Saccharomyces cerevisiae S288C: one gene and its partners. Changing the gene in region 3 together with the main gene of any one other region gives a genetic interaction. Each region holds a gene or a part of one and is shown on either strand. Other genes may lie near its edges.

Region 1 (3,934 bases), on a different chromosome or scaffold from region 3:
TGCTCAAGGTGTCAAGTTTATTGCCGAAGGTTCCAACATGGGTTCCACTCCAGAAGCTATTGCCGTCTTTGAAACTGCTCGTTCCACCGCCACTGGACCAAGCGAAGCTGTTTGGTACGGTCCACCAAAGGCTGCTAACTTGGGTGGTGTTGCTGTTTCTGGTTTAGAAATGGCACAAAACTCTCAAAGAATCACATGGACTAGCGAAAGAGTTGACCAAGAGTTGAAGAGAATTATGATCAACTGTTTCAATGAATGTATCGACTATGCCAAGAAGTACACTAAGGACGGTAAGGTCTTGCCATCTTTGGTCAAAGGTGCTAATATCGCAAGTTTCATCAAGGTCTCTGATGCTATGTTTGACCAAGGTGATGTATTTTAAATAGTCTAAAAGAAAGAAAAGAGGAAAGTTCATAAAAAGTTCTTTCTTTTTTTTAAATAACTTAGATAGATAATGAGATAAAAGAAGTAAAAAAACGGAATCGTAACGCAATTAATTAATTAAGAAAATTGATTATCGGGAGAAAAAAATTTTATTTTTTATTTTATTTTCTTTAAAGTACATATATTTGAAATGATGACATGTGGAAATATAACAGAGACAGAATATTTAATTTTATGTATGTAAGCATCGATTGGACACCAGGCTTATTGATGACCTTACTCGTCCAATTTGGCACGGACCGCTTTAACTTGCAAGTAGTTTTGTAAAGCATCAACAGACATTTCCCTGCCCAAACCAGATGCATTGAACCCACCGAAAGGAACTGCGTGGTGGAAATCGTTATAAGTGTTTATCCAGACCGTACCCGCATTAACTCTATCAGCCACTTTTAAGGCGGTATTAATATTAGAGGTGTGAATACCAGCAGCCAACCCGTATTCAGAATCGTTCGCCATGTTAATGACTTCGTCGGCAGATTTGAATTTGGTTACAGTGACAACAGGGCCAAAGATTTCCTCTTTGACAATTCTCATGTCTTCCTTAACGTCACCAAAGACAGTTGGCTTAATGAAGTAACCCTTGCTACCTAATCTTTCACCACCGGTAATCAAAGTAGCACCTTCATTCTTACCAATGTCAACGTATTTCAAGATTTTGTTTAGTTGCATTTGAGAGGTTTGTGCACCTTGGAAAGTAGATTCATCGAATGGGTCGCCCACCTTGATGGATTCAGAAGCGGCTTTGAACTCTTCAATGAATTTGTCGTAAATAGATTCTTCAACATACACCCTTGAACCCGCACAACAGACCTCACCAGAATTGTAGTAGATACCAAGGATAATGTTTTGCACGGCTTTTTTCAACTCGGCGTCCGCGAAGACAATGTTTGGTGATTTACCACCCAGCTCCAAAGTCACTTTTTTCAAGCCTGCGGCTGCGGACTGGTAAATGTGTCTACCCGTAGCCGTGGACCCTGTGAAGGCAACCTTTTTGATTTTTGGATGGTTTGTAATGGCCTCACCCACAATCTTACCAAACCCGGATACAATGTTGATCACACCAGGTGGAATACCCGCCTGTGGGATGTATTTAGACACATACAAAGCGGACAATGGGGTGGATTCGGCAGTCTTCAACACGACGGTGTTACCGGTGACCAAAGCAGGGGCAATCTTCCAGGCCCACATCAACAGTGGGAAATTCCAAGGAATAATCTGCCCACAAACACCCAAAGGCTGTCTCTTAGTGTAAGAAAAATGGGTTCTACCAGTATCAATCATTCTACCATCAATTTTATCAGCAAAGCCAGCAGAAGATTTCAAATAGTTGATGACTAAATCAACATCTCCTCTCGAGGAAGAGATAGCTTTACCGTTATCCAAAGTCTCGATGGAAGCAATGACATCCTTGTCCTGTTCAATTAATTCGGCTAACCTGTACAAAGCCTTACCCCTGTCAATAGGGTCGATACCGTTCCAAGACCCATTAGAGAAGGCACGGTCGGCGGCCTGCACGGCCTCTTCCACATCGTCCTCTCTACCTTCATAAATATGACATATTTCTTCTTCCGTGGAAGGGTTAATGACTTCGAAGGTCTTGTTCTGTTTAGAAGGAACAAACTTGTTGTTGATGAACAACCCCGTTGGTTGCTCATATTCCAACCCATTGGGCAGCTTGATAGGCACTGTCATAGGAAGGTGTGAGAAATATCTCAATTGAAGTCTCCCAATGGAGGATGCAGACGTCTTTAAGCAGAGCGTAGATCTACTGAACATGCTTTATTTATTTTTGTTATTGTAGTTTTCTTGGTTGGTTTTCCAGATACTTCTAATCCTAACACCCAAGAATTTTTGAGGAAAGGAGAGTGAAGTCAATTGTCACCGACAAACCCCCCCCATTTATATAACCGCCGAACTTCCATTTTCATTACAAATTTCTCCTCATTCTGCTTACCTACACCCGCCCCTCATTTTCCATCTCTGTTGGAGTTGGAGAAAAAGATACCTGTGGACGGAAGTCCCGCATCGCTGGATAACAGCCGTACCGTCGCCCGGGCGGGGAATCATACCAGCAAACAAAAATGAGGGGGAAATGACATCATGTGCGGACGGTACTAAAGGATCAAAAGAATGAATGAATGAATTGTTACACAAAACGGTGAAATTGTTACATACATTTACTAATTACATACATTTTTAGTACTGCGTACGGGTATAGTTATGGGGTTACAGATTCGTGGCAGTTGGGGCAGGAGTGTCATCTAACCAGAGGGTCGCCAGGGCGGGACATTGCTGCTGGCAGAGGCCAGCAAGCTGGAGCAACTGCCGGTAATGCAAGCTCGTGCTGGCGCGATCGTGGCGTGGTGTCGTGATTGGGTTATTTCGTAGATCAAGAAATTTTACTGATTGGCGTGGGAGAGTTTTTGTTAACTTGTGTGCGTTTTGTAGGTTGTTGCCTGGCAGATGTAGCTCTTGCAAGAACGGTAGTTCCTTGGAGAGGTCCACTGGTAAGTGTGTGAAGTCTCTAACATTAGCTATAGTTAGAGAATATAAGTTGGTGGATTTTAGAGAAGAGAATCGCGGCAAAGAGGAGGCCAGGCCGCCGTTGATCTCCAGAATTTGCAAAGTGGCAGGCCATTTTTGCCATTTGCTAAGTTGAGCGAAGCCGTCCAGTTTTAGAATCTTTAGATTTTGGTAGGGGAACGTGAATTGATCATCCAACTTGTAATTTTGTAATTTGGATAGCGCGCCTCCTGTATTTTTGATGGAAAGCGCTCTCAACGTTCCGTTCTCCATCTTAGAAGATTCCACGATGGAAACTAGCGGGTTACCATTGAGGTTTAAAACCTTCAGGCGGGGCAAGCAATTGATGTTTCTTACGCCAATTATGTTATTGTTGCTTAGATCTAAGACTTCCACGGTCAACCAGCCGCCCACGACAGAGTTGTTTGTTAGTATCAATTGTTCGAAATCGATGATACCATTAATCTCGTTGTTAGAAAGGTTCAGTTTTTTCATCCTGGAGGATCCTATCCCTTCTAAGGATTGGATGGAGTTGTAAGAAAGGTTCACCTCTTGCAGGTGATGACAAAGTGACAAAAATTTTAAACTTGTATTCAAGAGGTTGTACGATAAGTCGAGGCATTCCAGATCGTGGAATCCGGCTAATGAACAATGTGCGCTCGTTATTTTGTTGTTTGAACAAAATAGCTGTACAACGTTCGAGGGTATACCTTCTAGAGTGTTCATTTCATTGTCACTAAGGTTTAGCACTAATACATTCGGTAGTAGTCTTTGCATGCCAAACATATTCTTCAGTTTGCCCCTTGATAGGTCAACTTTCAGGATTTTTTCCCAATCGGAATCATAGCTTGGAGAACCAGATAGTTTACTAGTCAAGATTGATATTAGCTGCTTTTCAGTTTCGTTGAACGAGGTGTTTACTTCGGAAATGGACGTAATATCTTCAACCCGTTCAGCGGGGAAGGTC
Region 2 (3,481 bases), on a different chromosome or scaffold from region 3:
GACACCAAGTCCGCACAAAAGGTAGTTTGGTCTTTCTCCTGGTGCAGCTAGATAGTAGCTGAGTCCAAAGGCACCAGTAGCTAAACCACCTAAAACGGTGCTCCAGCATCCTAATGTGCACAAAACATTCTTCAAATGTTGAGTTAGAACATTTATTGGGGTGGTAATAGAAATCACGGTAGATGAAGTTAAAATACCGGCGTATAAACCTAATGATGAGACTGCGATACCTTTTACAATAGCTGGGGAGACTTGCATTTGTTTTTTAGTATATGTAAGGATTCTTATGAGTGTTTGTCTTAAACTTGCTTTTCGTGAGGTAAGGGTTAAAAAATCAGCTTGGATATAATTTGGAACAATAGAAACTTCTTTTCTCTCATTTATATACTGATCAACTCACAATTATATAACCTGGTTCTTTTTTTTTTTATTTTTCAACAACACAATAGATTCGAGTATGGGTAAACGAAGAGAATTACTTCGGCATTAAGCAAGGGAAATATCGCGCAACCGCGCACGTAATTATTTTTACTAAACGAACAGCAAATGCAGCAGAGCTAATGCGATGCATAAGATACTTGGATTCTAAGATCTGTTAACTTGAAAATGCTCTATATATCTGTCAAAGACACTATATTGTTGTATACTAGTATATATCTTTTAGTCAATTTCGATTACTTCCGGGCTTTTGGGAGCCTTGGACTTGGACGAATCATGGTCACTTTTCGTTTTTCTCTTATTGCTCTTCCTTAGTGAGATCCCTTGGCCTTGGAAATTTTGTTCACTGGATTTGCTACCAGCGGCACTTTCTTCGTCTTCTTTCGGTAGGACCATTGGGAAACCAAAGAATAATTGGCCTTCAGGCAGATCTAGCTTGGCGGGCTCGCCATCAAACGTTATCTTCATATCTTTTATATCTTGCTTGGGCTCCGCTTTCGGAGCTTTACCAGATATGTTTTGTCCCTGACCTACAAATTTAGATAGTTTGTTTCTGCTACTGTTAGCGATACCCGCATAGTCGATTCTTGTGGACATCGATCCCTGGCCAAGCACCGAGGGATCCAAAACTTGGCCCTTACCAAAAGAATTCTTTTTTTCTTTATCTTGCTGAGCTTTCAGCGCTTTGTAATCCGGTTCCACATATCCTACAGGTGGAGCAAAATCTGTTACTAAATCTGTTTCAATGACACATATACTCTTCGATGATGATTCTGGTTTGACTTCTAAGATCTTAATTTTGAAAGTTTTACCATTGTAACTAATCTCAATAACATCGTCCACGGTCAAAGTCGAGAAATTCCTCAGTACGTTTTCCAAAACTGCTTTGGGGTCGGAAATATCCAAGAAATCTACAGACTGAGGTTCTAACTTCACAAACTGGCCCAGAGGTACATCAGTAGATGAAATTTGCAGTAGAGATCCTGGCTGTATACCCAAAGTTTCCATCATCCATTGTGGTAAGTAAACTCTGCCCTCTTCAGCAATAAATTCTAAAACACCTCCATGTGTCACACGTCCAGTTTCATTGGCAGTTAGTTTAAAAAGCATGGGGTATCTTATGTTCAACATGGATAGTTTGCTTAGAGCACTTGGTGGCAGGAATATTTTCCCGCCGAAGTTTGCGTCATCCTTCCGTATTCTATCATTCATCATAGCTATAGGGTAGCATCTAAAGAACTCCTCAAACGTTTGAGGCATATTTACAAAACCATTTCCGCCGCCAAAAGAACTAAAGCCAGAAAACATTTTTATTATATTTTACAGTATCACTTTGATATTTTTTCCTCCCTTGCTATGGTATGTGTTACTATCTATTGAAAACTACATCATTATCTCTTCCCTATTCACATAGACCAGCCAGGATTACTTTTAACTACCTTTATTTTTCGCCACCTAACCCAAAAAAGGAATTCTTCTCTTTCGTAGAACGCAAGTTTGACTTTTTCGTCGTAAAGGCGAGTTTCCCAAAGTGGACACTTTTTTTTTTTAAGGCGCTTCGGCTAGAAATAGAAGAACGATAATAATGGCAGCGCACTGTGTATAATAACACCAGTCAACAATGAATCTGAAGCTAGAGAAAGAAACCCTCAAGTGTATCTGTGATGGCAGCAGGAAAATTGAAAAAGGAACAGCAAAATCAATCAGCTGAACGAGAAAGCGCTGATACGGGTAAAGTTAACGATGAGGATGAAGAGCATCTATACGGAAATATTGATGACTATAAGCATTTGATTCAAGATGAGGAATATGATGACGAGGATGTACCTCATGATCTACAATTAAGCGAAGATGAATATAATTCCGAACGAGACAGTTCTTTGTTGGCAGAATTCTCGGACTACGGTGAAATATCTGAAGACGATGAGGAAGATTTCATGAACGCGATTAGGGAAGCAAGTAACTTTAAGGTAAAAAAGAAGAAGAAAAATGACAAAGGTAAATCTTACGGCCGCCAAAGAAAAGAAAGAGTGCTTGATCCAGAGGTAGCGCAATTACTTTCTCAAGCCAATGAAGCTTTTGTCAGGAATGATTTACAAGTGGCCGAAAGATTATTTAATGAGGTAATTAAAAAAGATGCACGTAATTTTGCTGCTTACGAGACCCTAGGAGATATATATCAATTGCAAGGAAGGCTTAATGATTGTTGTAACTCTTGGTTCCTGGCAGCTCACCTAAATGCTTCCGATTGGGAATTCTGGAAGATAGTCGCTATACTGTCCGCCGATTTAGATCATGTTAGGCAGGCCATCTACTGCTTTTCCAGGGTAATAAGTTTGAATCCTATGGAATGGGAATCAATTTATCGCCGGTCTATGTTGTACAAGAAGACAGGACAGTTAGCAAGAGCTTTAGATGGATTTCAAAGGCTTTACATGTACAATCCTTATGATGCAAACATATTGAGGGAGTTGGCCATTCTTTATGTTGATTATGATCGGATTGAAGATTCAATTGAGCTCTATATGAAAGTGTTTAATGCTAATGTTGAGAGAAGGGAAGCGATATTAGCTGCTTTAGAAAATGCCTTAGATTCTTCAGACGAAGAAAGCGCCGCAGAAGGGGAGGATGCAGACGAAAAGGAACCCCTTGAACAAGATGAAGATAGGCAGATGTTTCCTGACATCAACTGGAAAAAAATTGATGCAAAATATAAATGCATACCATTTGACTGGTCTTCTTTGAACATTCTCGCGGAACTTTTCTTAAAACTCGCAGTTAGTGAGGTCGATGGTATAAAGACAATTAAAAAATGTGCACGGTGGATTCAACGCCGCGAAAGCCAGACATTTTGGGATCATGTTCCAGATGATTCAGAATTTGACAATAGAAGGTTTAAAAACAGTACCTTTGATTCACTACTTGCCGCAGAAAAGGAAAAATCGTATAACATTCCAATCGATATTAGAGTTAGATTGGGATTGTTAAGATTGAACACAGATAACCTTGTTGAAGCTCTGAATCATTTTCAATGCCTGTATGA
Region 3 (2,797 bases):
TTAAGCGAAATATATAATGAGTTAAGTTACGAGTTAATTAAAGAAGAATGTCAAATTGAAGACGATGGTATCATCGAAAGCCATTTAATTCAGCTACAGAATATTTTTAAAGCAGAGATGGATTCAGTCAGTAAATCTATGAAATTTTCAAGAAGATTTGACTGTAGAGATGTGTACTGTCATGAAAAGGAACTGACTATAATTAAAAATCCGCGAGTGACGAAAGAGTATTTAGTTCAAAATCTTCGGAGCTGGGAAACAAAGCTCAAACAGAATATATTGGAGTAAATCAAATATGAAAAAGGCATAATAATGACGATATTAGGAAGTAACAAATAAATAAAAGAAAAATAGAAGAATAAATAATAATAAATAAATACTAGTAAATATGGCAAAGGAATATACCGGCGGAAAACAAGGTAAAAGCAAAAGATAGGAGACACGTCGTTGCTATAGATGTGCATGTTACATGACCGAACAAATGATTCGTGGTGATTTATCTACTTCTTGGCTTCAATCTTTTGACTGTTGTCTTTCTCGGAAGAATCCCATAGACTTTTTACTAAACCAACAACACCATCATTCTCGGTTTCTAGTTTATAGATTCCAAAAAGGGAGACCGCAGAACCAAGGCCCAACATATACATGGCGTACTTGTGCCAAACACCATAAACTCTTTCAGAAATATAATCGGTGATACAAGAGTTAAATTCCATGTAACAATATCCCAAAAGCATGACAGAAAAGAAAGAATCAGCTGCAGTGGATAACGGACCGGTTGTCAGCATAGCCGTCGTAGCCAATGGAACGACGGACAAGGCAAAGATTTTTTCCATATACCAGTGGTATGAGCCCTCTAATTTATTCTCAGGGGGGGGGACGTAGGCATCATTGGGAGTGCCCCTAACACCACCTGGTTTCTGGGGTAATACGGGCAAAAATGGGATAGTTAAGCTCTTCTTAGCGGTAGACTGGAAGGCCCTTACTGTGGCAGTATGGAAAATTCTCCTTCCAGTCATAAATTTCATGGATCTTGGCAACATCATAGCTATTATAAAGCGCGTAGGAAGAAAGTCGAAAGCGTAGGAAAGATCAAGAAAACAACAGAATGGGAAATTAGATACGACTATCTTCCAAAGCAGATATTTATCCTTCTATCTTTGCCTTAAAGCGATCCGCAGTCGGTCCCCTGATCGCTCGAGGGCTTCTCCTTATATAACTAAATTGCGCCTGTGTTCTTCCGAAGGTGCCCCGGAATAAAAAAAACAGCAGCGATTGGCTCAATGCTTATGGCACATAAGGTGTTTATATATTCTAAAATAACATTTAACGTGCCGTATTATTCTTTTACAGTTATGTGATCATCAAGAACACGGATGCACAATGAAACATCCTCGCTTGGTGTTTTACTCATATAGTTTATTTATTCTTTATTTACTTACTTACTTGGTGCGTTTTTTTTTTATCTATTCACTTCAACAATTCCTCGATGATACGGTTGGCTGTGTTGTTGTCATTGGGGTCTAAGGACTTGACGCCTAATCGTCTCAACACTTCCACAATCTTGTCCTTTTCAAAACCTTGAGATTCAAACTCGTCAATCAGATCGTGGTCAATCCCATATAAATCAGACTCCTCTACATTGCCTTTTTGACCATTGGAAGTTTCACTGGCGTATAACCTCGTCCATAGTGCAGCAGTCTTATTAAAAGATTCTCTATCCCGTAAATAGTGTTGTGCTACTTCTGCATCTTGAGGATCGTTAGGCTCTGGAGATTGTAGTAGCGCCTGTAGCGAAATCAATGCAGACTTTAGTGTTATCACTGGCGACCATGCATTCTTAAGAATATCTAAACAAATGGCACCTGTCACTGATGATATATTTGGATGGTATACTTTTGTGTCGAACTGCATCTTTGGTGGTTTGAATGGATACTCCATAGGTACTTCGATATCCACGACAAATTTGCCACCCTCGTAAGGTGTTCCAGGTGGGCCCAAAAATGTGCCTTTTAAATGGTGGATATCAGATTCACTCACAAATTCAAGAGTAATGTGAGCTGCAGGATCATCCTTCACAGCTTGGATTTCTTTCATAATTCTCTTAGCCCTAGACATCGCTTACTTCTTACTACTACTACTTATATATATACCACTTGTTTTTTTTAATGTATCCAACCACTAAATTACGATACTTATGTCGTCACACTTGCTTCAATTGACTTTACCTATACGCCCGCGATCGGAAGTTCATGCATTCAACTGTCATCTCATTGTTTTTGCCCCTCCAAATATTTCAGATGGAAGAAAATGTAACAAAAAAGGATATTAATGTTCGTATTATGTGACTATTTTTTTTTTTTTATGGATAGTTATCCAAATTGTTAGTTATATGCGTTATTATGCTACGTATTTTTCCTTAGAGTTCGTATATTTTAATTTAGTTCCACGTCCTTATTAGTGTTTTGTGCAAATACATCGGCTTCATCCTCATCTTCTTCTTGGTCCATGTCCTTGAATACGCTTTCATTGGGGATTCTCTTCATAATTTCAGGTTTATCAAACAATGGACCAATCTTATTAATCCACCTTTGCCTTTTATCCAGAAGGGATTTTAAACTTGAGTTTGCAGCCTTTTGTTGTGCTATTTGAGACGTGGTTCCTGTGTTCACATTATTTGAAGCTGCTGTATGATGCTTCTTTCTTTTCTTGGGTACGCGAATACGTTTGACATAAGCCTGGTCGATTTGTTTGTCTAAATCTTCTAAAATAGATGAGTATTCCTGCCATGCTAGTT

What was found.
Region 1: of SDH4 (region 3) and ALD4, changing one suppresses a phenotype caused by changing the other (phenotypic suppression), as found in Saccharomyces cerevisiae (one study listed by BioGRID).
Region 2: mutations in SDH4 (region 3) and UFD1 together harm fitness more than expected from each alone (negative genetic interaction), as found in Saccharomyces cerevisiae (2 studies listed by BioGRID).

The regions. Positions count from the first base shown.
Region 1 is NC_001147.6:1,038,126-1,042,059, reverse strand, and holds ALD4 (aldehyde dehydrogenase (NADP(+)) ALD4), read right to left. Parts: upstream 2,221-3,934; coding exon 661-2,220; downstream 1-660. Other genes in the region: glutamate dehydrogenase (NADP(+)) GDH1, read left to right, coding at 1-382; NUD1 (Nud1p), read right to left, coding at 2,671-3,934.
Region 2 is NC_001139.9:588,091-591,571, reverse strand, and holds UFD1 (polyubiquitin-binding protein UFD1), read right to left. Parts: upstream 1,747-3,481; coding exon 661-1,746; downstream 1-660. Other genes in the region: SCM4 (Scm4p), read right to left, coding at 1-258; transcription factor TFIIIC subunit TFC4, read left to right, coding at 2,103-3,481. UniProt on the Saccharomyces cerevisiae protein: Functions at a post-ubiquitation step in the ubiquitin fusion degradation (UFD) pathway. Has a role in the endoplasmic reticulum-associated degradation (ERAD) pathway.
Region 3 is NC_001136.10:816,199-818,995, reverse strand, and holds SDH4 (succinate dehydrogenase membrane anchor subunit SDH4), read right to left. Parts: upstream 1,047-2,797; coding exon 501-1,046; downstream 1-500. Other genes in the region: CSN9 (Csn9p), read left to right, coding at 1-288; E2 ubiquitin-conjugating protein UBC1, read right to left, coding at 1,471-2,118; histone acetyltransferase NGG1, read right to left, coding at 2,436-2,797. UniProt on the Saccharomyces cerevisiae protein: Membrane-anchoring subunit of succinate dehydrogenase (SDH) that is involved in system II of the mitochondrial electron transport chain and is responsible for transferring electrons from succinate to ubiquinone (coenzyme Q).